Linked DNA regions of Nothobranchius furzeri. The protein of the gene in region 6 binds, or shares a complex with, the protein of the main gene of each other region. Links are inferred from orthologs where the notes say so. Each region holds a gene or a part of one and is shown on either strand. Other genes may lie near its edges. The genes, in order: tbp, taf11, taf8, taf13, taf7, taf6 and taf3.

Region 1 (3,360 bases), on a different chromosome or scaffold from region 6:
AACGTGTCCTGGGTCGACCCGGGGGCCTCCTGCCGGCAGGACATGCCGAAGCACCTCCCCAAGGAGGCGTCCAGGAAGCATCCTGACCAGAAGCCCATACCACCCTTGTTCTTAAAATTTAATGATTTTGACATGTCAGTTCCAACATAATCACCTACAAATGATTCTCTTTTGACTGATGTTACATGGGAGACAATCCTGACTTGTCTTTTTTATGATGGGTATCAAATAAGCCACAATTCCTTTTGTAAGAATGATTGTATTGTTTAATACACAAATTACTTTATTTCAGATATTCAGAGAAATTATGTATTTTCTGCAGCTCTAACATCCAACTACAACATGTTTTAACTCTTACCCAGAGGTTTTCCCTAAACTATTTCTATACAGGGATTCAGTATTTTAGTCTTCACAGTTTATTTCTTCATGGTGACTTTTGGTTTTACGCAAGAGACTTCAGCTGTAAAATGTTGCTGCAAAGAAAACCAAGTAGACTTGAGTCATATGTACACTTTTATTGGGTGGAAAAGAAAACAATGGACCAAACTTCTTCGAGTCTGCTGGGAGGACAGAAATCAGACAGAAGAGACAAAGATGGAGACTGAACATGTCACTAAATAAACCAGACTTTTAACTAGTTGCCATAAACGTCACTAGCTGACCGTATAACACATAAGACCACCAGCAATGACTTCAATGTGATCCTACTTGAGTTTTAATTTTAGACAAAGGCCAAACAGCCAAAATTCTGCTGATTTGAAACAACCAAAAACATTTTTAAAACTATACTGCATGGGTTTGAAATTAATATTAATCATAAGAGCTTTTTTTCCCTTATATCAATATTGAGCCTACTGAAATCCCGCTGAAGAGCTGCATCGACTTTAAGATTGGCATCACTTCTCATTCTAATTACAGAAGAACATATACACACATTCAAGTTTAACCATTAAACACTTTCTTCCTGTAACCACAACAAACCAGTTCTCTCTTTCAACAGAAAGATTGTTTCACGACTTCAACCAGACAAAGTCGAAAGTTATCAAACGCCTCTAAACAACTTAACTGTTTAGCAGCAGCAAACATTCATGGACAACTTGGCCAGTCAAATAAAGATTAGCTCAGCTTGAGTTAATGGGCGTCTACTCCCAATGAGTGTAAAAAAAAAGTCATTAATCAGGATTATTTTCTACCTTAAGGGAGTAAGCATAGGATTTAAAATCCCAAGTATCATGTACAGCAGGGGATTTAAAGAGAGGTCAACAAATGCTAACAGCTGAGAGTATAAAAGTATTTAAAACAGCTTCACATAAAACCAGCAGTCCTAGTCGTCGAACTGCTTTTCTGCTCAACAACACTTTACATTTTTTACAGTCATATGTACAGTTGGGGATGAGATGGGACAACAAAAACCTGCAACCACAGGACACAATAAACATGGTCAGAGTGAAAGAACAACCTTTAAAATGATGATTAAAAAAATTGAAGACAGAAAGATGGATGAAAAAACTCCCAACACCTGCATCAGTCTACCTTCTCATTAAAAATGTGACATTAAATAATGAATGAAATAAGAGGATCAGGTTTCAGGAGGTGGAAAAGAAACCCCAGGTCCTACGTCGTTTTGCGGAAACCTTTCAGAATGGGGTAAATGTTTTCAAATGCTTCGTAAATCTCTGATCTCACTTTGGCCCCTTCAGGAAAAACAAAAAAGATTGAAACATGGATCAGTATCAAGATGAATCTAGAAAACTTACAGAATCTCTTGTTCTATTTTAAATAAAAAAATTACAATCCTTTCAAAATAAAAGGAGATCCAAAACAATGTGCCAAATTATTAGGTGATACTTTAACTAGAATCTAAAAATACACCCGTCTGAGAGCTCGGGCCTTACCTGTGAGCACTACTTTCCCAGAAACAAAGATGAGCAAGACGATTCTGGGTTTGATCATTCTGTAAATCAGTCCTGGAAACAGCTCCGGTTCATAGCTACAAAACACAAGTTAGACTTTCACAATTATATGAATTTTAAATTAAAAAAATGTACCATTTTTAATTAAATCTTTGCAAACATTAGCGATGCTCAGATCAGGTTTTTTGCTGCTTATGGATTGGCCATAAATGTATCAATGCTGTTATTATACTTGCTACATGATCTGGAATAAAGGAGCAATAATATTGCCCAATTTTGACAAAATCATTTTACAAAATACAAGACTTGTCAGTGTGTTTCTGACCAGAACTTATAAGCCTTCTACTATTTTCAGTTCAACTCAAGATGATCATGTCCAGGATGACAGAGAAGCTTCCCCTTGTGCTTAGGGCTGTAGCGAAGCCTCGACTACGTCGACGGCTCGATTCTAAAAATTTGTCGACGTCAGATCCGGAAGTCGACGCACCGCGCCCACTTGTTGCATCCCCAGGAGTTTGTAAATAGAGGAGGAATCTGCCTGTTTTTCCTCTAGTTCGCCCTCTTCTCCGCCTTCACTAACATCTCCGCCAAATACCGAAGACCCGGAACAATGTCCGTCCACTACTAGATTATTTTCCTGTTTTGCCCGCCTTCGTCTCCCGGCAACGGACAACAACTTCCGGGGTCAGATGCGCTGCTCCGTCTCTATCGCAGATGTAGAAAATCACCGGGAGCGTTTCTCCCTTCATAAAGGAGCTTCTTTCAGACATTAGGAGAGCTGTTTTGGTGGTAGCAGTCTCTCCTCCGTGCTGGTCTGTTTGCTGCTGGGTGTTTTGGTTTATTTAAACTTGGTAACTTGAACTTAACGTTGGTAAAGCTACTGTTAGCATCTTCGCTAACAGCTTCTTGCGTTGGGATAAGCTGTTACGTTTTGGTTTAGAGTTAATCTTTTTTGTGGTGTAGATCTCCCTTTTATTACATTTAGAGTGTTGTGGGTTTTCGGTTTAGTGTAAAATATCACCTTGAGTTTGGTTTAACCCGTAAGACCACTCGCCTCACGCACATAAGTGACCAAAACAAAGCAGCGTGGAGACACTCCATCTTCTACCACCTCTCAGGCAGCAGCCTGCACTCCCAAGTTCTACACGTCACCAGAACATAACCAACCGCAACACAATAAAAGCAGTGTTATACAAAATGGAAGGCCTGTAGTGTTTATTCTCTTACAGTAACAATTTATCAATTTTTTTGAGGAATTTATTTGAGATTTTCTGGTTTTTGTTAATTGTGCAATAGAAAAATAATCATTAGATTAATTTTCTAAATAGTCATTAGAATAGTCGACTATTCGATAAAATAATCGTCAGAATAATCGTTTTAAAAATAATCGTTTACCCCCAGCCCTACTTGTGCTGTATTTTTGTTACAGGATGCAAAGTTTAGATCA
Region 2 (4,083 bases), on a different chromosome or scaffold from region 6:
CCCGTAAGAGTCTAAGCAAACTACAAGTTTCTATCTGCTGTAAATATAAACACATAAAATATCCAGTTGTCCTATTATTAGTAATAATGTGTCCAGGATTAGATGCAGGGGATCAGGCCCAAACCATCACACCACCACCACAAATCTTCACTTTGATGTAACAAGATACCTACTTTGTTCATGCAAGCATAAACATTTACACACCTGAGAACACAGCTAAAATAAAGCTGATCTTAATTAAAACAGGTTTTAATGTAAGGAAACTTCAATTATGGCTCTTCTCTATAGATTCATGTTTTACTATTTAGAGCTATCAACTCCTGTCAATGTTTCCGCGCACCATTATGGTTAGCTTCACTCACAGCTTTAACCAGAGGTGTGGGCTGATCCTGCACGCTCGGTTCTTTATTTTCTTCTGTAGGTTTTTCTGAGACGAGTTCATTTTCAGGTTGATCCTTCCTAACTACTTCTTCATCGATAGCAGAAGCTGCCGTCTTCGGAAGAGAATCTTCTGTTTTGATCCGAGCAGGATCTGCCATCGTTTCTCGACGTCTCTCTACGATTCAGCCTCTGCAAACATAAAATGTTCTCAACATAAATTTATCTGGATAAATATAGACCAATTAACTGGTAAACAATCCAAATATGCTATTAATAAACTTGAAATCAAAATAAATGATACTCTGGTGAAAGATCCTCTTATCATAGCTACTGAAATGAATAAATACTTTGTTGACACAGTTCGAGATATAACTCAACAATTCACACCGTCTAACGGTGTTTTTGATCCTGTAAATCCTTGTCATGCTGTTTTCAGGATAGAAGAAATAACAGAAGTGGACAGCAACCAATCAAAGGCAAAGGATGTATATGGTCTCTCGACACCCATTTTTTAAAACTGCACAAAGATGCACTAATTCAGCCGGTAACTCATTTAATTATTCTATCGTTTAAACAAAATGTTGTGCCTTTAGCATGGAAGCTAGCTGCAGTCACGCCAATTGACGAAACTGAAATGGCCAATTATCGGCCCATCAGTATTCTCCCCACTATCTCCAAGGTTGCAGAAAAGTGGGTGGCAAAGCAACTGAATGCATATTTAAATTTTGGACACACATCCCTACATCCAATGCAATTCGGATTTCGTAACTGCCACTCCACAGAGACTGCAAATTGTGTCTTTGTGGAAAAAGTCAAAAGTCTCCTTGACAGGCATGCATGTGTAGGAGCTGTGTTCATAGACCTCAAGTAGGCTTTCGACACGTCGATCATCAAATTCTTCTAAACAAATTGAGTCATTTTAATTTCTCACCAGAGGCGCTGCTCTGGTTTCAGTCTTATCTGTGTGACAGAAAACAATATGTGTCCTTGTTTGGCAATAAATCCTCCTACATTAGTTGTCCAGTTGGAGTTCCCCAAGGCAGTATTCTGGGGCCGATTTTGTTTATCATTTATATTTATGATCTTCTCGAAGTATGTTCAAAAGTAAACATACAAATGTATGCAGATGATGCTGTTATTTTTACTGATACTAAACGTCCTCAGGAAGCCTCCCAATTGTTGACTGCAACCATGGCCCATGTACAAAAATGGGTCAAGAGTTCCCACTTAAAGCTGAACATAAAAAAAAACTGTTTGCATGTTTTTCACCAAAAAAAACAAACAATTGAACTAAAAAAAATCAAACATCTTTCTTGAAGGGGTAGAACTTGATATTGTCAAAGAATTCAAATATCTTGGGTTAACTTTGGACCCAACCTTAACTTTTAAGAATCACATTAAACAACTTTTAAAAAAAAACTGTCAATTATAATGTCATTTTTTTAACAAGTTAGACCTTTTTTCACTCCATGCTGCAAAGTTATTTTTACATTCTATGATTTTGTCTCACATGGAATAGTGTATAACCTCCTGGTCACTTGCTGCTGGTGCAACACTCAAACCCATAGAATCCCTTTTTTTAAAAGCCATAAAAATCCTTGATAAGAAATCATTTAGTTTCCACCACTGCTTTGTTTTAGATAAATATAGACTTCTTAATCTTAGTAACTTTGTTACCTTCAAGAATGCTTGCCTGTTTTTTAAGGTTTTACATGGACTAGCCCCTTTCCCACTGACAGATTGTAATAAATCGCGGTCTATCAGTGGAACGTCGACCAGGGCTACAGATAGAGGAGACTGTGAGGTGCCTTACAGACGCACTGCTTTTGGCCCGACCACACTATCCTAACTAAATATTGGACTAAATATTGGAATAGTCTACCACTCAGCATAGGTGACTCACAGTCATGCAGTTCCTTCAAATTCAAACAATGGCTGCAGGAAACCCAAACCCGTATCCATCAGTAATTTGTCCTCACCGTGGTGTTTTGTGTGTTTTCTTTCTGTTTTTCCTAGTTTTAAATACAATACTTTACTTTCTTTTATTGCTTTTATTACCCGCCTAGGGACTGCAGATGTAAATTAGCACTGGTGCTACAATCTGGCATATTTACCGATGCAATTTATTGTTGAAGTTCATTAATATGCACTGTCCCTATTAAATAAAGAAAGAAATGAAATTTACCGTTAAGGTGGATTTTCACGACAGAAATAACAGCATATACATACCTTCAAGCCAGAACGAGCTCAACGACACCACAGGAAGCAGCAACAAAACTAATTTAAACGTATTTTAGGTAGCCGTGAACAGAAAGTGGATTAAACATGATACATTTGTATAATATGTTAAAGCACACAACAAACGTGAAAAGCTAAGCTAGCGCTTCTTTCTTCTTCTTCTTCTTCTTCTTCTTCTTCCTTTTCTTCTTCGTGGGTTAATGGCGTTTGGAAAAAAAAAATGTTGTCGCCCCTTACCGCACTGGAGGGTAGCTGATGAGGCGAATTCATAAACTCTAGGGAATCTTGAACGTAAAATAGTGCTGTTCTGTTTATTGCCACCAGCATAGAGCTCATATTTTTCATTTAAGGAAAAAACAGACTTTGGAAGAAATTAGATAGTCTTTCTACTCAGGAAGTCTTTTACATGTATTAATCCAGATTTATTTCCTTCAAATCCTCCTCCTCCTTCTCTTTTGTTATGTCCCCGACAGGAGATGTTAAAATGTGAAGGAGGGGTAACATAAGAAATGCGACAGCGGGTTTAAAATGGCTTTAATTGTTATAAAAGGATCTACCTGGATAAGATGCCTGTGTGGAGCTTGCTTCAAACTCAGTTTTTCATTGGCTTTTTGTGAACGAAGAGGTAAATTGCTTTCCTCTAGTGGCGAAAAGCCGAAACTACACGTTGGTTCTGGTCATTTTTAGTCATTGGGTAAAACATCAGTAGAAAACATGTTAGCGTCCTTATATCAATGAGGCTAGAAACTGGAGTTTGAAGTAATTATCTTTAGGTAAGATAATACTTCTTTTTTACAAAACGTACTATCTCTTTAACAAACGTAAGCTAACGTGCAACAACAACGACGACCCAGCGCTGTGATTGGCTGGAATGAGCCGCGAGAAACGGAAAAGGAAGTGGTAGATGTTAGGGGAGGAGCTTAAGGTAGAACGGCCATGGCGGGATGCGTGAAAACGACACACTGTTGTTACAAGTCAGCAATAACCAAAGTTTTAGTCTTCGTTGTACTCTTTATCTGTTTACCCCAGTCTTCACTCCAGAGTACTGGTAAGAAGCTGTGTTACAAAGTGGGAAAATACACAGTCACTTACTTTATTGTGTTTTAACTCAGGCTAATCCAGCTAATTAGTGTTAGCTTGTTTCTTTCACAAAGTGAAACTGCTTGTGTGAGTTTAGTGGTGCTTCATACGTTCCTCTTTAATTCTGTTGGTTATACATGTAGTAGTTAACATCACCCCAATTCCCTTTTCGTACAATTCCTTTACATTTCACATGGATAAGCTATTAGTTGGGTTTATCCAAAAGATAAATCATTCTAACAATTAGCAGTAGATGATAATCTCACAGGATTATCCAGTCCAGAGACATGTCTGCTTGTGAAATCCAGGGAAAGCAGCCCAAATAATTGATCTGCAGGATGGAGAAGAGTTCACCATGTCAGGATCTAACCGGTTCTGCTACAG
Region 3 (4,185 bases), on a different chromosome or scaffold from region 6:
TATGCATGGTCTCTCCTCTGTTGTGGGAGGAAACGCGGCTTCGGCTGTATTTAAATGGGAAGTCTGCTCCAGCCTCTCCACCTGCGAATGCCTGATCGTGCCAAACACTTGGGAGAAATTCACATTTTTGACGTCTGCCTTAGAGTGAGTATCATTCATTAGCCAAATGTCTTTGTGATAATTGTTTTTTCCACAAAAGAACACTACATTAAACTATTATTTTTCTTCCAGCAGAATCATTGCATATCAGAAAATGGACAGCACCAACGAAATCATCCTTTTTGCCAAGGAAATGCTGAGACAGAAGCCCAGCTGGAGCATGCTTAAGATCTACATGCTCGGCTCGACTCTGGCGATGATCGGGATGGTCGGTGGTGTGGTGGAGATGATTCTCCAGCCCTTTTTAGACAATCACAGCCCAGGGGAAGAACAAGCAAAGTTCTACATCGAGATGAATAAGGAAAACAGTACGAGCAAATCAGACTCTGCCACAGTTCATGCCGAAGTTGAGGACATGATGGGAGCAGTATCGTTTGGAGCCAAGACTAAATATCTGGGGACATCTATCCAGAGAAGCTCAGCCAACCGCTTACATGCTTCTTAAAGAAACACTCCACACCACTTAAAAGGACAAAGATATACCAGTATTGTTGGTGGTGGTGGTGGTGGTAGCCTGCATTACCAAATCAAGCAGCTCATTTTTTATTCTTTAATTTATTTCAGATATGGTTAAATGTGTAGTTTTTCTTAGCTGGTGGCTAAAACTTAGCTGAAATGTTACAATAAAAACTGCAGGATACAGTTTAGTAATGCTGCTGGGCAGCAGGTTCCAATGGCTGACATGCACTGGGTGTCTATGGAGCTCATGAAATGCCATTCGTGTCATTCATTTTGTACTTAAATAAACATTTTTTCTGCTCGCAGAATTTTGGCCCTAATTTAAAGCGCCCACAGATTCAGATTTATTCGACTTTAACGGTAGAGGTTTAAGCTTTATGCATGAGGAGAATTTTATTGAGTAAAACAAAAAGTAATGTGTATTTAGCACTGTTCGCAGAAAAAATATCACCAAGGGCTTCACAAATAAAAACTGTAAACACCGCATACAACCTGTGTAAAAATGTGCTCGTAAAAACAAAAGAACATAAAATAAGGTATAAAAAAATTCTAACGTAATGTGTTTTCAGCTGTTTCTCAACACAATCTTTTCAATAAGAGCACAAGGACAGAGCTAAAGTGTGGGAGCCACTGCTCGAAAGGCCCGACCACCTCTGGTAACCAGTAAGCAGTAAAACTGGGGAGATGTGCGCCCTTACTGGTACGTTATGTCAGCAAATAGCCACTAGATGGCAGAGTGAAAGACTCTAATACTCAATTTCACTTCCGCAACAAAAGCGGAAATTACGTCATAGTATGAGCTGTGTTTACAATCGACGGTGAAGCGGTTTCTGGATAAGTAGAAATAGAAGAAGAATTGCATTTGTTAGAGAAGGAAACCTGGAGCTAACCTCTTATGGCGGATCCAGCGGTAGTATCGGGAGGGTCGCTGCCCTCCTGCGGGGTAAGAGATGCTTTTTAGGGCATTAGAACGCGCCAGCTAGCTTACAAGCGCCTCTCATCGCCACAGTTATTACTACTGTAAATAAACATGTTGGTCCTTGGCACGAGCAGTAGTATTTCGATAGATATTTACATTAAGCTAGCACCTTACAACGCCAGGGTTTGTGTGTGTGCTCTTTCAGCGTGGCGCTAAAGCGGCTTCCAGCGCCGCGGAGAACTACCAGCTGGCCCGCCGTCGCACCCTGCAGGTTGTTGTCAGCGCCCTGCTGACCGAGAGCGGCTTTGAGAGCGCAGAGAAGGCCGCGGTGGAGACGCTCACGGAGATGATGCAGAGCTGTAAGTGTTTACAAACAGTAGCTTCTGTCCGCTGAGCACGAGCTTCCAACACCAGGTTAAGGCTATTCAGATGAATGCATGTTTACGTCTAAACTTCACTTGATCTAATCAGTCTAGGTTAGTTTAAAGAGCAAGTCACCCCCAAATCAACTATTTTTTCTGATAAACTATATAAATGCGTGTCTAATCGTGCTGCAGACACGTGTGGTCAATAGTTTTGCACTTTAGTGCATTTTAGTTAAAATTTAAATTTTCTGCCTTAAACTGTCAGTGTTGTGCCGTTGTCAGGTAAAAACTCTTCACTGCATTTGAATTTAAATCTGCCACCGCTATTGGCTAAGAGGTATGCTATGATGTAAACTGGTACATTATGATGTCACAATGTCGTGCGTGTGTGTATTTGTTAGTGGCTCCACCCTCTCGGTCTGCTAGGCAACAGCATTTGTTGCATTTTTCAAACATGAAGTGGGAGTGGAGTACGCTTCTTGTAGGGGGTGACTTGCTCTTTAAAGAGCCTCCGTCCTCTATGTTTCAGCTGTTTCTGCTCCATCTGGGGCCCCATTTATAAACAAAACCGGGTCTGAAAACCGCGTGTGTCACTTTCCACGCACATTTATAAAGAAAACCTGACAGGAAAATGCGCACAACTTTAGGCAAACCCCTGTGGAGTCAGGGAAACTAGCAGCACAGCAGGTGAGATGACAAATGGTGAATTCAAGCCGCATTTGGACCCTCGTGTCTGCGCACGCACACACACAAACACACACAACCACAGTCAGCTCCCTCACCCGTCTCTGAATAAATAAAATGAGAACTTAATAAAAAATATGTCGCTGTTAAGAGATCACAATGTGTTCAAATGAACGTCTTCAACCGGAGTCACGTCCAGCGTTTAAAGAAGTTAAATAAGAACTAGTGACTGCAGGTTATGACTCTGAGAGCTTCTATCCACTACTGTGTTGTACGATTGGTGCTGGCCTTTGATGAGGTATTTGTTTGGTTGTTTAAAAGCGTGCCTGTAGAGTTTTTGAAATACTAATGGTATCATTTTCCTGTAAAGATATAAGTGAAATAGGTCGTTGTGCCAAAGCATACTGTGAACACACGGCCAGGAGCGTCCCAACCCTCTCTGACACGGTGGTCACACTCATTGAAATGGGTAAGACTGAAGGTGCATCAGCATGGTGACATGTTTTTTTTTTACTGTGAACACACTCCTAATCGGTGATTGTTTGTCCTTGGAAAGGTTTTAATGTCGACACTCTCCCCGTGTACGCCAAGCGGTCACAGAGGATGGTCATTACAGCTCGTAAGAAACAAAACCTGACATTTCTGCTGTTAGAGCTGTGATGATACCCTAGGATATCAAGTAACGAGTCACGGTTGTAGGCTAGTTTTAAGTTCTACATGTTTGTATTTCCTGATTTTTAGCTCCAGTCACGAACACACCAACAACACCTAAATCCCTGTCAGCTGGGCACAAGCGCACTCACCCACCTCATATTCCTAGCCACTTCCCAGAGTTTCCGGACCCTCATACCTACATCAAAACACCTGTAAGTTCATCAACATAATCTCCATAATAGCCCTATAAAACCACGTTCACCCCCATAGTGGGTGATGTTGCATAAACAGGTGTTTTGCGAGGCTCTCCTTCCTTCCCTCAGACATTCAGAGAGCCTGTGTCCGAGTACCAAGTGGTGAGAGAAAAGGCAGCGAACCAGAGGAGAGACGTAGAACGGGCCCTCACACGCTTCATGGCCAAAACTGGAGAAACTCAAAGCCTCTTCAAAGACGACGTCACGGCCTTCCCATGTGAGGGATCCCGACTGTACATTACCCGTCAGATTGTGTGTAACCCTGTGCATTAATACAGAATAACACATTGCTGTTGTTAGTGATCGCAGCTCGGCCAAGCACCATCCCATATCTGAGCGCCCTCCTGCCCTCGGAGCTGGAACTGCAGTCGCTGGAGGAGACGGACTCCTCTGAGCAGGACGACCAGACCGACAGCGAGAACACAGCTGGAAATATGGTGACAGTAAGTCTTCACAGCTGGGAATTGGTGCCAGGCGCAGTAGAGTAGTAGTAAAAATAACTTTTTGAAGGTGCCATTCTGAAGGTCTAAACTAAGAGGAACAGGGCAATAAAAAGCAGCACTTAGGATTGAAACAGAGAGAGTCGCAGCTACACTGCGGAGTGTGTTAGAACGGTTAGGAGTAATAGGAAGGATAAGGCGCTATCCAAAATAACACAAGAGCTCTTTATTGGTACTAGTGTGGTGTTAGT
Region 4 (2,708 bases), on a different chromosome or scaffold from region 6:
TTATTACAAAATGCTTTAACCCTTTGATGCATGAATTATGAAATCTTCAACCATGATTTTTTTCATTCGTCTTTAGGTGTGAATGAAACAAATTTCAACAAATATATATTTTTTTTATAATTTACAAATAATTTATTACATGTCCACCTCAGTGGGCAGCGTGCATTCTGAGCATGAAACATGTTGGCTTGACTTACTGAAGTCCAAATGGAGGGGCTCAAATGCCATCAAGTCTTCAACAGCTGTGCTTTGTGCAAAAACAAATAAATAACAATTTTGAGTACCTGTCCACTGTAGTGACCATTATGCATCAAAGGGTTAACACTCACAATTATGAAATCCCAGCCAGATGTGCCACAGCAGGTCATCTCTTCTGCAGACAGCAACAAAGTTAGGAAACTAACGACATACGGGTACATTTAAGGTGTAAAAACTCTAATTTTAAACTGCAGAAACACCTGATATACCACAAAAGTCTCTCCAATCCAAACAGCAGGAAAGATAATGAAATGTTAATTTATTCACGCAGTTTCCATGGAAACACTTAAAAAAACCTTAACAATCCTTTCCAACACGTTGGCAGAAAGTTTCATTCTTCAATGTAAATAACAGATGTTGGTTTTCCTGTTGGTGTTGGGACTTATTTGAAACAAACTAACTTTATTTGAGAGTTTCCGATGACTTGACAGTGTAAACATGTCATTAAAACAGTCAGTTCTGTTATTCAAGTGAGAACCACTAAAAAATACACAAACCAGTTAGCAGGAAGCGACAAACAAACGCGAGTTCATTAGGAGCCGTAATTGGCTTCATCAAAAGCTTTCCGGGCTCTCTTCAGCTCCTCGTTCATGGTCAGGAGGTCTTTGACTCTGGCGAACTTTCTGGGATCCTTGCGAATTAGAAAAACGATGTCCTCCACCTGGACGCGGCCCTGGCGCCCGATAGACATGGCTTTGTGGGTCATTTCCGTGATGAACTCGATCACCAGATCCTCCAGAATATCCACAGACTCCGTGTACGGGTTCTGGTCGTCTCCAAACCCGTACATCATGCACCGGAGCTCCTTAGAGAAGAGTCTCTTTCTCCTGCCGTGGCCGACATCCACTCCGCTGGACCCGTCCTCCAACTCCTCCTCGAAGCCAGCCTCGTCCTCCTCGTCCGCCATTAATTCTGGAGGAAAACGCCGATAAAACGAGCCTTAACGACGCTTTACTGTAAGATAAACCTCACACTTACAACATGCAAACATCAAAATGCGTTTTAGAGAACAAAAATTACATTTTACTTTGAAAACTGGATCACAACAATCCCCAGACTCTTCTACGTTCGTTGTTGTTCTTCTTCTTTGGTATTTTTGGGCTTCAGCGTTTGACACGCCAACTTCAAATTGCATGACCGCCACCTACTGGACTGAGTTTGAAACGTCAGCGCAGATCTAATCTTTTGAATAAATTCTTGTTTAAAATCGAGATTGAAACGAGTCACAAATAAATAAATAAATAAACAAAATAAATTAATAAATATTAGAGCCATGAGAGTCACACTGACAGGCTGAATTCAACAAACGGAAAAAATAACGACTTCATATGTATATTAGGTTTATTTCAGATCTGCATCTATTCCAATTGTTTTCTTGAGTGTTTTTGTTTCTACTTAGCCAAACTATATCATGAATGATAATGAAGTTGAAGCTTTTTGGCGGTTTTTGTTTTCTGCTTCTCTAACCCAGCATGCATTTGTGAATAATGTGTCAACCTCCGTTGAAGGCGTAGAAGAAGAAACATAGCGGAAAGAAACACTAGCTCAAATATCTAGTGCCTTATTTTCTTTCTTTCTGTGCTCAGACGTGTACACAAGATCAGAACCGGTAAGAACTACACTAGAGTCGCTGGTTAGCTACTAAATGTTTCTATGTTAATGTTGTTAAAACGTTTAGAGATCCGAAAGTTGCGTTAGCTTAGCTGTCAGCTAACGGCTAAAGATAGCAACTGCTTGGTTGTGATGATTCTTCACAAGCCATCTGGTAAACCGGACACACTTTATATTATATCTAGATGTAAAGTAGGATGTGTGTGCTACGCCGTTCATCTCCACATGTCTCGTTAGCTGTTAGCTGTGTAGGCTAACGCTGTGGCTGTGGTAACACAGTCTTAATGACTTTTTGGTTTAATTTTATAGCATCTTCCAAATCCAAATCGCATGGTTCTTGGTCAGAATTATAATAAAGGTAAATAAAATACAATTTAACGCTCCTAGAAGTGAAGGGTTTTATTTACAACTCTCCTTAGTTGAGAACTTTATTTTAAAAAATAGTTTATTTTTAAGTTACATTAACAAGTCATGGCTGTCTGCTAGAGCTTGTTAAAGCTAGACCGGATGTGTCTTTCAGGTGTATAGGGTGAGGTCCCCCAGTCATTTCAGATAATCTAAGTTGAATTATATCTCACATATTTACATTATCTGTTGTAGATAAGGATGTTCTGTTGAATCCGAATAACATATCTCATATGTTTGTTGTTTTTCCCCTTAGGTCCTTATTCTAGTGAACCATTATGGGTGGTGTGGTGGGGTGCAGAGGTATTTTGGAGATGCTCCCTCTGCATTAACAGTCCATTCTGGACAGCTGGTCCTGGAAGTCCCGGATGGCGTGCCCAGTTCAGTTCCTCTTCAGAGGTCTTTGCACTATTGGACTGGTCCTCCTCTACTAT
Region 5 (3,500 bases), on a different chromosome or scaffold from region 6:
CGGCACATGCGCGCTTTGTTGTTTACGACCAAAACTTTCTTGAAGCCAAAGCTGAAATAATGGCAGGAGGAGACGGCAGCACTTGGGACATTTATTATCCCTCAAAGAAGACAAAGTGGGAAGTACGGGCATTTTTTGGATATTTGAAGAATGCCGAGGGACAGTTGATAGAAGACGGCTATCCTGTTTGCAGCACGTGCAGAAAAAAAGTGTCTGTGAAAGGCAGCAACGCTACGTGGCCATCATAATGTAGCCATTGTCTCACGACTCCGCCATCTCCAGTTCGCCACTTTTCACAAAATCTGGTTGCCACTGGTCCTGGTGGTTTTTCTTCCAGTTCGACGAGTTTTCTTTTGGAAGGCTGGCTGACTCCAGTTAAAAACCGCCACATTTCACCGCTAGTTTTAACACGAAGCTAACTGCTAACTTGATAAACTGATTGAATGGGATAGGTGGAAATGACATTGGATGCGGCGCTCACGTTTCGCGCACGTTTGTGTACGTTGCATGCAGGCGGGAGGAGTATCACAGAAATCCATGGAAGATGACTGATAAACATAACTAATTTGGTGCAAACATTTACTCGCCAGGTGGCAGATAGAGCTCAAAAATTTACTCGCCAAATGGAGCAATTTGCTCGCATTTGGCGAGTGGCGAGTGTTAATTTCGGACCCTGTGTGTGTGTTTTAGTGATTTCATGCAATTCAGGAGCAAAAAGAAAGCATTGGCCACTTACTTTCAGGGCCTGGTTTTCCACCTTCATGATGAGCTCTTCCTGTTGTTTCTTGCGGGCAAGAGTTTCCTGAAGCTTGGCCTTTATGTTGTTAATCTGCACCTGGTACTCCATAACTGCAGAAAACAGCAGGAGGCCAACGTGTTAAAAAAGGTCCTAAAACAACTCAGAAAAAAACAATGGTCTGGCATCGCTTGATGCAACTAAACAACTCTGGAGAACAATGCATGCATGACTGCAGATTAAGTAAATTAAACCTTCTAGGGAACGATTGGTCTGTTTAACGGATGATGCACCAGCAGCAGTGACGCATTATGAGACAATTAAATCAGTTTGCTGTAGGTTCAACAAAGAGAGTTACAATTAATTCAATTCAACTGATTCCCACTAACCTGTAGCTGCACTGGCTCCATATTTTTCTAACTAATTGCATCCATTCACTGCTTATTTCCACTGGTGCTCAATTTTCCAATGCAGTTGCTGTATTGTGCTAAATTAAGCAGCAAGGGGCCCTTGCTGCACCATTTATTACAAGCCTGCACAGCAGCTGGAATCATGGCAAACCATTCTGCAACATATTGGAAAACGCTCTGCCTGGATGCTGGTCTGCAGCTGACCAGTGGAGTTGCTGACTGACAGCTTCACGTATGCAGATAAGGAGGCCCGGCGCTGTCAGACCGGACAGCTGTCTGAGCTGCATGCCGCGCTGCAACACCTGTCAGCCTGGTTGGTTAAGGAGGAGAGCTGAGAGCTGTCAGTGTGTTCGTCTGCAGGGTGCAGCAGCATGCGCGTTTACGGGGAAGCCAGGCTATTTCTTTGACTGTGTGTGATGTCTGACCTAGAAAGCTCACTTCTTATTAAAAGTTCAAACACTTGGTTCCGTTTATTTTTTACATCTGCTTCGACAAGTACCTAGGGGTGATCTGATTTAATTTAATGTCTGACTTTCTTCCAAAGTCCAACCTTGTTGCTGTGACCACTCTGACAAAAAAATTAACAACCAAGTTGGCTAAGAGATTGAACATTTACCCTGAGGTGTGAGTTGCAAGCACAGCATGAAAGATTGCATAATCCAACACAGCACTTGCTTCATTCAGCTAGGTATGTAGGTTATTTGGAAGTAAAGAGATTCAAATTTGAGTCTGCACTTTACGTGCAGACGTTTCCTGGAACCTGCAACCTGAAAATGTTTAAACAGGTAAATGAAAATGATAATTTACAGACCAGGGGCCTCATTTATAAAGCTTGCTTGCACAGAAAACAAGGTTTGAAAACTGCATAAGTGACTTTCCATGCAAACGTGACTTATTCAGAAAAACTTGACAGAATAATTGTGCGCAAATTCAAGCAAACACTGGACCTGGCGTGAGTACGCTTTGGACACAGGAAACCTGGCCATGATACAGAAAGCAGAAACTGCGTGCAGCTGTGAGTGAGCAGAGTATTATAGGTCGTAGTAAACTAGTTTGCGTGAGTAATTTATTCTTTACTGAGCTTAAGTAGGGTTTTGGTAAGGATTCTATGCAAAGTTTTATAAACGAGGCCCACATTGCATTTTAGAAAAAGGTTAAACAGCTTTAAAGTGTGAGATTATTCTCCCCCACACTGCTGACCTTGTGATGAACAACGACCAAACTTCTAATTCTCACCTATCTGGTTGTTTCTGTCGCTTTCATGCTGAGCAGAATCCGACTCGTTGAGCTTTTCCTGGAGCTGTCGCACTAGATCATCCTCTGTGTCCATGATATTCAGGTCCTCGTCTTCATGCCGGTCCCCTTCGTCCTCCTCTTCCTCACTTGAGCTGCTGATGTCGTTGAAGATCTCCCTCAGCTCGTCGCGCGGGACTGGCCGTGCAGAGCACAACGGTGTTATTAACAACAACACACAGACAAGACACGCTGAAACTCTGAAAACTAAGATGGCTTTGAATTCCCTTGGAGACACCAAAGTTTATAAAAAGATAACATTTTTGGTCTGTTGGTCATTGACGGAAAACATCCTGGAGTCCAAACATCCAGAATAATCTTCTCTGATCTCTAAACCCAAACCTTGACTGTTTGGGCGTTTTGTAAAAACTGACATGAAGATCATCATGTTTTATTAATTTCCTTTTTAATAAAAAAAAATATCTCAGCACAAATAAAATCACAAAATAAGGTGTTTTTCATTTTAAAGGCCATTAAAAAAAACTTGTAACATTTAAAATTTGTCAAAAGTTTCTTAAGTGGACAGTCTAAATTGAAAAGGCTACAAACTGTAAGCAGCACTGGTAAAGTATATGGAAGCAACTAAGGAAGTGTATTGGTGAAATGATGGTGATACGATAAGAATCACGATACGGGGAGGCGATACGATATATCCCGATATATTGCGATACATTCAGTCAGACGATATCAGCGATTTTTTTAGGCTGAATTTATTGTAGGAAAATTCAATAAACAGTCAAAACTGATACTTATCATGTTTAACATGAGGTATCTGACCCATGATAGAGGGATTTACAATTCAATGGTGGAAACAGAACCCATTGTACACTGCTGCCAACTAGTGGTCGGCATTTGATTTGCACCAAAAGAAAAGTTAATACACACGTTTGCATGTAAATTCTTCCAAAAATTAGATACACAGCTTTTGAATATCGATATATCGCAGGAAAAAAGATCACGATATATTGCTATATCAATATTTTCTTACATCCCTAGAAGCAACATATGACTGAATGCGTCTATAAGCAAACAATACATGCATACGAATGTATAAAGATCTG
Region 6 (2,886 bases):
TTGAGGAGAACTTCAAAGTACTCTGCTTACCGATCCACAACGTCCTGAGTCGAAGTCAGCAGCACACTGACCCCACTATAAACAGAGTTGGTAGGGCACTGCTTTCTTTTTGGAAGTTAGAAACTTCTGACAGGAGACTGCCATACATTCCCAGCAGACCCTCACAATACGTTTGGGTCTGCCAGGTCTGACCGGCATCCTCCCCCACCATCGAAGCCACCTCGTCACCAGGTAGTGGTCAGCTGACAGCTACGCCTCTCTCTTCACCCGAGTGTCGAAGACACGCCGCAGATCAGATGAGATGACAACAAAGTCAATCATGGAGCTGTGGCCTAAGGTATCCTGGTGCCAAGAGCCCATATGGACCTTTATGTCTGAACACGGTGTTCATTATGGACAATCCATGACGAGCACAGAACTCTAATAACAAAACACAGCTCGACTCAGATCAGCGGCAGACTAGAACACTTAAGTAACTCTGCAGCTTACCTGTGTGATTGTTAACGTGGTCCTGTTGACCTGCTGGGCTTGCAGTGTTGCTTGAGTTCTGGCCTTTACTACATGAGAGCACAACATGGGCCCAAGGTAGCCATATTCTGCCCGATACTGCTCCACGTTGTCCGGCTGAGGTCGTATCTTGGCAATAACACTCGCACAGTGTTTCTTTAAAAAGAGAATAAACAGCTTATTGCAACCTTTAAAGCACTAGTTGTTAGTCTCTCAGTGTTTTAGTTTACAAACGAGTCTTATTCACATCTAACGACATTTATTACCAGTAAGAGGGTTTGAACATGTTCAGCTCCTATCTTGTCAATGTTGGAGACCACAGGTCCCTCCATCACTGCTTTGATGCGAGCTCCCTCTACGGTGAGTCGAGGAAGGATCAGCGTCTTTATCACCTGAAAAGGTCAAAAACAGGAAACGATGATGTAACAATTCTGAGACACAGAAGTCGTAAATTAGATGTTTTTTCTCTTGTAACAAACTCTACCACCTTCATTTCAGACGATGGCACTTTTCCATTACCTCACTGTGAAAACTTATAATTCTTCCAAATAGAGGCGACCAATATTGGTTTTTCTATTGCCGACAGGTAAAGGTGATGGCCGATTAGTGCTGCCGGTATTCTGGGCTGTTTTTCGTGGTCGATATTTAAACGTTTTCTACCTCATGTTCATGCTAAAATGCCACCAATAACATCAGTTGATTTACAAAACGTTTGAAACCGAATCAGTTTTTGAACACCGAGTTTAACCAACTGTTAAATCTTAATTTTATGCACGGCTCAGTGTTGGAATCAGACATTTAACTAAAGTTACTCAAACAAATTAGTAAACTGGCAAAACTGGTCAAATTTAAGACATTTTAGTTGAAAATAGTTTTTTGAGCATTTATTAAGCAGATGTTATTCAGGAATGTAAATATCCACAAATTTAATTCTGCAGCAGCACCAGGCTGCCCGAGGACATGCCCGACTTTTAATTGGCTTTACTAAGGAGTCGCATCGGCCGATGCTGATATCTAAAAAGTGGTAAATATCAGCCGAGATATCCGTCCACCCCTACTGTCAAAAGGAAAACAACTCAAATGGGAGCACCCCACCACAGAGTTTTTTTTTTTAGAATTGTTTCTATTCACATATTCTAAATACAGTTAAAATAATAGAAACCTGTTCATTGATTAGCAAAAAATTAAGTTAAAATCTAAAAAAAAAAAAAAAAAAAAAAACTTACATCAGCTCCGAGTTCAGCAAGTCCAGCAATGCAGCCGTATCGTGTCGTCCACTGGGTCTTATCATCGAACAAACTCTGAAAATGTCCCCCCCCAAAAAAACACTGATTTAAAATGAGTTTGTGTCACTAGAGCTAGTATTAAGAGTTGTTAAATAATAGGTCATTTGGGTCATCACTGCAGATGTGCTGCAGAACGTTCTACACATTAGTGTTATGATCATCATGGTAAACGTTTGCCTTTAGGGTAGACCTGTTTATTTACATGGGTTTGGTTTACTGGCTCGATTGGTGAAGAACAAACACTTTATTAATGAAATATTAATTACAGGTAAGTTATAAGTGGAACTTTGATTAGATTTTTTGTTGTTCAAACATTTTCTAGTCAAAAACATAAATTCTAGCCACAGAACTTTTCTCTCTTATCTCTTTTCACTTCAAAAATGTCTTACGACCACTTTCCTACCAAACACCTACCTTGGTCAGAGTCTTGGTAACACGTGACTGGATGTTGTTGGTTGTGGTGCTGAAGGTTTTACAGCTCTGAGCCATCAGGCGAGCAGCAAAGTCCCGTAAAGCCCAGTGGTTATCAACATCTGGTCGTAAACACAGCTGTTTACTCACAATACAGGTGACCACAGCTGGGATCAGCTCATGCAGCTACAAAGAAAAACAGCTTTGTTAAAATAATCTTTAGTTTAAAAATGGCGTGGACTTCTGGTTTTTCATTTACTCACATATTTTTCCAAATACAGGGTGGGATTGTCCATCAGAGCTTTGACCATCCGCATGAGATAAATCAGCAGGGCCAAGTTGTTCTGCACCACGTTTACACGGACCTTCGAGGAGAGCGTAAAATCAGCTGACTTATGTTTGATGTGACATCAACAATGTTTACGTTAGGTTAGAAAGATTCTTACTCCTTCAGAAATAAATGTGCTGAATCTTGGAAGCATCTGATACAGACCAGGGTCCGTTGCAATACTCTGTAGAGCTTCCTGTATGAATCAAATAGAAAAACCAGATCAGCAAGCTCACACACATTTTCTAAAATGATGATTCTGCTCTCCGACTTTCCACTTTAAATGGACACTAGGCAGTTTTGGCTAGCACCACCTTGTGTCCGTTTAGTAGAACCAAAAGCAAATCTTATCTC
Region 7 (4,011 bases), on a different chromosome or scaffold from region 6:
AAGTGGAAGGGCTGAAAAGAGGAGCGACGTCACCCAGAGAAAAGGGCGGGATGACAGGCTGTTTCTGCTTGTCCTCTTTGCTCCTGTCTTTACCCTTGTCCTTCTTCTCTTTGTCCTTTTTACTCTTATCCTTCTTCTTGTCCTTGTGCTTGTCCTTCTCCTTCTTAGGGCCATCTCCATCTCTAGATTTAATTTTGATGGAGCCCTCGGGTAGAGAAAAGTCTCGATGAACAAAGTGATCCTCGTCTTTCACTCCAAAATCCTTCCAAGGCATTTTGACATCCTTGGAAGACTCCTTGTTTTTGTCCCTGTTCTTCTCCTTGTTCTTCTCCTTGAGTTTGCTCTTATCCTTTTCCCGATCTTTGTCCTTTTGTTTATCTTTGTCCTTCTTCTTCATCTTGGTCCTCAGCTCCTTCTTCAGCTTCTTCTTCACGTCTAACGGAGACACCATCTTGCTTTTCTCCTCGAACACTTTGAGCAGAGGCTCCGGGGTCGGAGGTGAGGCCGACCGTGACGACATGTACGGAGGCTGATTCTGAGGCGGGGCAGCTGGACCCCCGTGATTGGCCTTCCGGATCACCTCGTTGATGGAGTCATCCATAGTCCAGCTGTCCAGGCCCATCCGCGGCTGTAGGTGAAGAAGCGTGGACGTGTCTTTTAGCAACATTCCAGTCCCTAAGTGGAATTTCGGCGTAGACGGCTCCATGATGGTCAACCTCCTGGGGCTGGAGAACCCATTGCTTTCTGAATCAGAGCCAGAGGAGAAAGCAAAAGGATCGGGTTCCCGCTCAGCACACGCTCTGGCTATCACAGCATCGATAGAATCGTTGATGGCTGTGTTATCAGGTTCTAGTTTGATAAAAGGCCCTTCGGCTAAGTCCTGGTCCTCCATGCTCGGAGGAAGGTGAATGTTCTCTTTGCCCATCCTCTCACTCAGCGCAGACAGAGGAAACTTTTGCAGGACGTCTGCTTTGCTCTGAGGCATGGGAACTTTAGAGGAACCCATCTTTGGACTCTTGGGGCTTTTAGGACTCTTCGATCTGCCGGGAGACTTTTTCTTTTCTTTAGACGGTTTTGGAGAATGGATGGGACTGCCAACCACTGGAGCAGGAATTACCCTTTTGGGGGACTTAGTCCGTTGTCTGCCAGGAGATGAGACTTTGGGCTTTCTCACTGGAGTGGTGAAGCCCTTGGGGTCTGACAGTTTTGGTATTATCGGCTGAGGCCTGAAAGAAGGTAGAACTCCAGACGGCATTTCAGGTGACAGCGGGTCCAGGCTGTCATGAGAGGGAAGGATGCCAGGAGGAACGCGCTGTGAGTTGATGGAGGTAAGAGGCTCCCTAGGTTCCACTCCCCACTCGGGGCTGAGGCCAGGGTACATGCGTGGTCTCTTGGAGGTGGGCATCATGCCCAAAGCAGCATCGGGACTGTCCAGGTGCCTCTTTAGCGGATGGTTTTCATCATTTACGGTCTCGTCCTCATCCACCTCCTCCTCGTCCTGCTCATCCATTGCCACCTGCATAGCCTCGGCTGAGGTGCCCATGTCTGCAGGAACCTCCTCCTCTTCCTCTTCTACCAGGCAGAGACAACAATGACAACATGTAATTCAACAAAGTGGCAAAAGTTAAAGGAATGTTACTAATATATGAATGTAAAATATTAGACTGTGCTGCAAAGTTTCAATGGTTTATAATCACAGAATGTTAAAAGCTGCAGTGAAACGACAGAAAACAACAGGTGTCTGTAATAAGTGTTTTATAAACTAAAACCTTGAAGAAAAAAGTCAACGCAGTTCGGACTTTATGTCGCGCATGTGATCAACGATGGCACGAACCTTCCTGTAGGGACACCAGAGGTGGCATGTAATCTGGAATGTAATCCTTTCTCTCCTCTGCGTCTCTGACTCCAGGCTGAGGGAACTGCAGGACATTGTTTTTGCTCATGGGAAAGAGTGGTGTCTGATGGGCGAAGGACACGGGCTCCAGATTGTGGACGTAGTCCTCCAGCTCGCTCAGATTGACCCCCATCAACCTGAAGGCTTGGCTGACATCATCCAGCACTGGATCTGTTCTTCCATCTATAAGATAAAGAACAGAAGATTTAAGCCTGAGCAGACACTTTAATTATTCTGTCCCAATCGATCATTTTAGGGCTGGTAAAGACATGTGACTCATGTTTGACAGCACATAAAGAAACTAACTTCAGATCAACAGGATTAAAACTGACTTAACCAACTAATTAAGGTGAAAATAATGCATCTATGTAATGGTAAAATAACCGGAAAGTAGAGTATTTTCACACAAAAATGAGGAAGCAGCAGTTGTAATGGTACTGCACTTTTTGACACATGGACACGAGGGGGCGCCAGCTGCAAAACAAATCAACAACGTGATCGACAACTTCAGGTTTATTGGTTCGGAAAAGTGATCGGAGTATGAAACAGAGCACTTACACAGCTCAGAGTACCGGTGGCAAACCCTCGCCAGCTGCTGGATGTACCTATGCAGCACATCGGACAGCAGATCGCTTGCAGTGAGCTGAACCGCATCCCAGCCCAGAGCCTGGCAGATCTGCGCCACCGAAACACGCAGCAGCGAGCGGGCATAGCTCTCGCACATCTCTCTGGGTTCGCTACAGTAAATATTCCGGTCAAATCCTCATTAGAGACATGCTCCTGGTCTTCATGTTTGGCGGAAACCCCAATAGGCTTGGGAAAACCCACTATCCCACTTAATTTTTGACATTTACTTCAGTAAATATATTGGCGCTTTTGCCAGAGTCGCCATCTTGAGTTAATCGCTTAACCCAACCCCGATTTCTAATCTACGCATGCGTACAAATGCAGTACAGCGCTGTCATACGAAACAAGGAAAATTATGGCGAGCCGACTTGTCATAAAGTATTGCTACGCTGAGCACACTTGCAAAATTCATTTTTTTCAATCGCCTCTCATCAAAATGATTTTATTTAGTACAAAACTCCCAAATAGCAGTAACATAAATATTAATATTTGCTGCAAAAAGATAACACGATTATGGATAATACAACACAACATTGTTACGAATTTCAATCTTAATTTTATACCTTCTTAATAATGAAGATCTTAAAATATACTAACCCGGAACGCTTTTGTTTCAACTGATCGTGAAGAGTGAATTGTGTAAATATATGTTACAGCGGCATGCCAAATAGTAATGACATGTAGCTTAGCAGGCTGTTAGCTCAGTCTGTCAGAGGAGAACAAGACTGAAATGTAAGCGATTATCGCCAAATGTTGAGATAAACACTTTTAAAGTGCTACAAAAACCTAACATGCAGGAGATGAATTAGCAACCACTGTTGGTTTTCTTCCTTTACCACCAAGCCACATCTGCGTCGGCATGTTAGCTAGCTGGCTAATGAAAACGAACAGGGAAATTTATAGTTTTTAAATGTACTGTATCAGATATCAAGCTGGAAATCTGTAAACACGAAATTAATGTTATTGTTTCAACGCCAAGGTACATTTACAGTGCAGTGGCTGTTCGGTTTGCATGCTATTATAAGATTTTGCACACGGCGGTGCTGGTTTACCAATAATCAGAGTAAATTATTTATTTAAGCCTTAAAATTTGATTAACACCTAAAACGTGGCAAAATACTCTTCATTGTTTGTATCGTCTTTTAAAGACTCGAAAACTACGTTTCCTTTGTCAAATAAGGTTTTACGCATTTAAAATTTTGCATATACATAAAATCTTTTAAATGTATTTGAAAATAAATGATTAATTTTCTTTTGTGTTAGCCTTTACATTTTTTTCTGGTAGTACTCATTCCAAAATAGCATTATTTAAAGCACTCCATTTCCAGTGTGAACACTACCAGTTCTCCCATCTACTCATCCTCACCCTGTAGCAATAAGACTTACCCACAAGATGATGCTGACATCTCCATATCTGCCATCATGCTGGTCAACTGGTCAATTAATGATGAAATGCTGTAGCCCTTCTATTTTGTTTAAATTTGTGCGAC

Evidence for each region.
Region 1: taf6 (region 6) and tbp share a complex: the UniProt entries of both Homo sapiens proteins name them as parts of the TFIID basal transcription factor complex. The link is inferred for Nothobranchius furzeri from reciprocal best matches to the Homo sapiens genes TAF6 and TBP.
Region 2: taf6 (region 6) and taf11 share a complex: the UniProt entries of both Homo sapiens proteins name them as parts of the TFIID basal transcription factor complex. The link is inferred for Nothobranchius furzeri from reciprocal best matches to the Homo sapiens genes TAF6 and TAF11.
Region 3: taf6 (region 6) and taf8 share a complex: the UniProt entries of both Homo sapiens proteins name them as parts of the TFIID basal transcription factor complex. The link is inferred for Nothobranchius furzeri from reciprocal best matches to the Homo sapiens genes TAF6 and TAF8.
Region 4: taf6 (region 6) and taf13 share a complex: the UniProt entries of both Homo sapiens proteins name them as parts of the TFIID basal transcription factor complex. The link is inferred for Nothobranchius furzeri from reciprocal best matches to the Homo sapiens genes TAF6 and TAF13.
Region 5: taf6 (region 6) and taf7 share a complex: the UniProt entries of both Homo sapiens proteins name them as parts of the TFIID basal transcription factor complex. The link is inferred for Nothobranchius furzeri from reciprocal best matches to the Homo sapiens genes TAF6 and TAF7.
Region 7: taf6 (region 6) and taf3 share a complex: the UniProt entries of both Homo sapiens proteins name them as parts of the TFIID basal transcription factor complex. The link is inferred for Nothobranchius furzeri from reciprocal best matches to the Homo sapiens genes TAF6 and TAF3.

Annotation. Positions count from the first base shown.
Region 1 is NC_091749.1:35,004,844-35,008,203, reverse strand, and holds the end of tbp (TATA-box-binding protein), read right to left. Parts: intron 1,991-3,360; coding exon 1,896-1,990; intron 1,695-1,895; coding exon 1,615-1,694; 3' UTR 501-1,614; downstream 1-500. UniProt on the Homo sapiens protein: The TFIID basal transcription factor complex plays a major role in the initiation of RNA polymerase II (Pol II)-dependent transcription.
Region 2 is NC_091755.1:54,208,846-54,212,928, forward strand, and holds the start of taf11 (transcription initiation factor TFIID subunit 11), read right to left. Parts: upstream 2,801-4,083; 5' UTR 2,611-2,800; intron 571-2,610; 5' UTR 540-570; coding exon 363-539; intron 1-362. Other genes in the region: nemp1 (nuclear envelope integral membrane protein 1), read left to right, coding at 3,556-3,667, 4,008-4,083. UniProt on the Homo sapiens protein: The TFIID basal transcription factor complex plays a major role in the initiation of RNA polymerase II (Pol II)-dependent transcription.
Region 3 is NC_091755.1:40,695,089-40,699,273, forward strand, and holds the start of taf8 (transcription initiation factor TFIID subunit 8), read left to right. Parts: upstream 1-1,385; 5' UTR 1,386-1,513; coding exon 1,514-1,561; intron 1,562-1,742; coding exon 1,743-1,896; intron 1,897-2,956; coding exon 2,957-3,055; intron 3,056-3,142; coding exon 3,143-3,205; intron 3,206-3,327; coding exon 3,328-3,452; intron 3,453-3,563; coding exon 3,564-3,711; intron 3,712-3,794; coding exon 3,795-3,937; intron 3,938-4,185. Other genes in the region: g0s2 (G0/G1 switch protein 2), read left to right, coding at 2-144, 232-604. UniProt on the Homo sapiens protein: The TFIID basal transcription factor complex plays a major role in the initiation of RNA polymerase II (Pol II)-dependent transcription.
Region 4 is NC_091755.1:48,193,984-48,196,691, reverse strand, and holds taf13 (transcription initiation factor TFIID subunit 13), read right to left. Parts: upstream 1,401-2,708; 5' UTR 1,286-1,400; exon of another isoform or gene 1,279-1,285; intron 1,213-1,278; 5' UTR 1,166-1,212; coding exon 791-1,165; 3' UTR 501-790; downstream 1-500. Other genes in the region: slc35c2 (solute carrier family 35 member C2), read left to right, coding at 2,643-2,708. UniProt on the Homo sapiens protein: The TFIID basal transcription factor complex plays a major role in the initiation of RNA polymerase II (Pol II)-dependent transcription.
Region 5 is NC_091741.1:82,927,740-82,931,239, forward strand, and holds part of taf7 (transcription initiation factor TFIID subunit 7), read right to left. Parts: intron 2,578-3,500; coding exon 2,383-2,577; intron 850-2,382; coding exon 737-849; intron 1-736. UniProt on the Homo sapiens protein: The TFIID basal transcription factor complex plays a major role in the initiation of RNA polymerase II (Pol II)-dependent transcription.
Region 6 is NC_091750.1:47,777,018-47,779,903, reverse strand, and holds part of taf6 (transcription initiation factor TFIID subunit 6), read right to left. Parts: intron 2,729-2,886; coding exon 2,651-2,728; intron 2,570-2,650; coding exon 2,468-2,569; intron 2,391-2,467; coding exon 2,208-2,390; intron 1,809-2,207; coding exon 1,734-1,808; intron 900-1,733; coding exon 774-899; intron 664-773; coding exon 490-663; intron 1-489. UniProt on the Homo sapiens protein: The TFIID basal transcription factor complex plays a major role in the initiation of RNA polymerase II (Pol II)-dependent transcription.
Region 7 is NC_091744.1:59,253,509-59,257,519, forward strand, and holds the start of taf3 (transcription initiation factor TFIID subunit 3), read right to left. Parts: upstream 2,801-4,011; 5' UTR 2,619-2,800; coding exon 2,453-2,618; intron 2,078-2,452; coding exon 1,835-2,077; intron 1,573-1,834; coding exon 1-1,572. UniProt on the Homo sapiens protein: The TFIID basal transcription factor complex plays a major role in the initiation of RNA polymerase II (Pol II)-dependent transcription.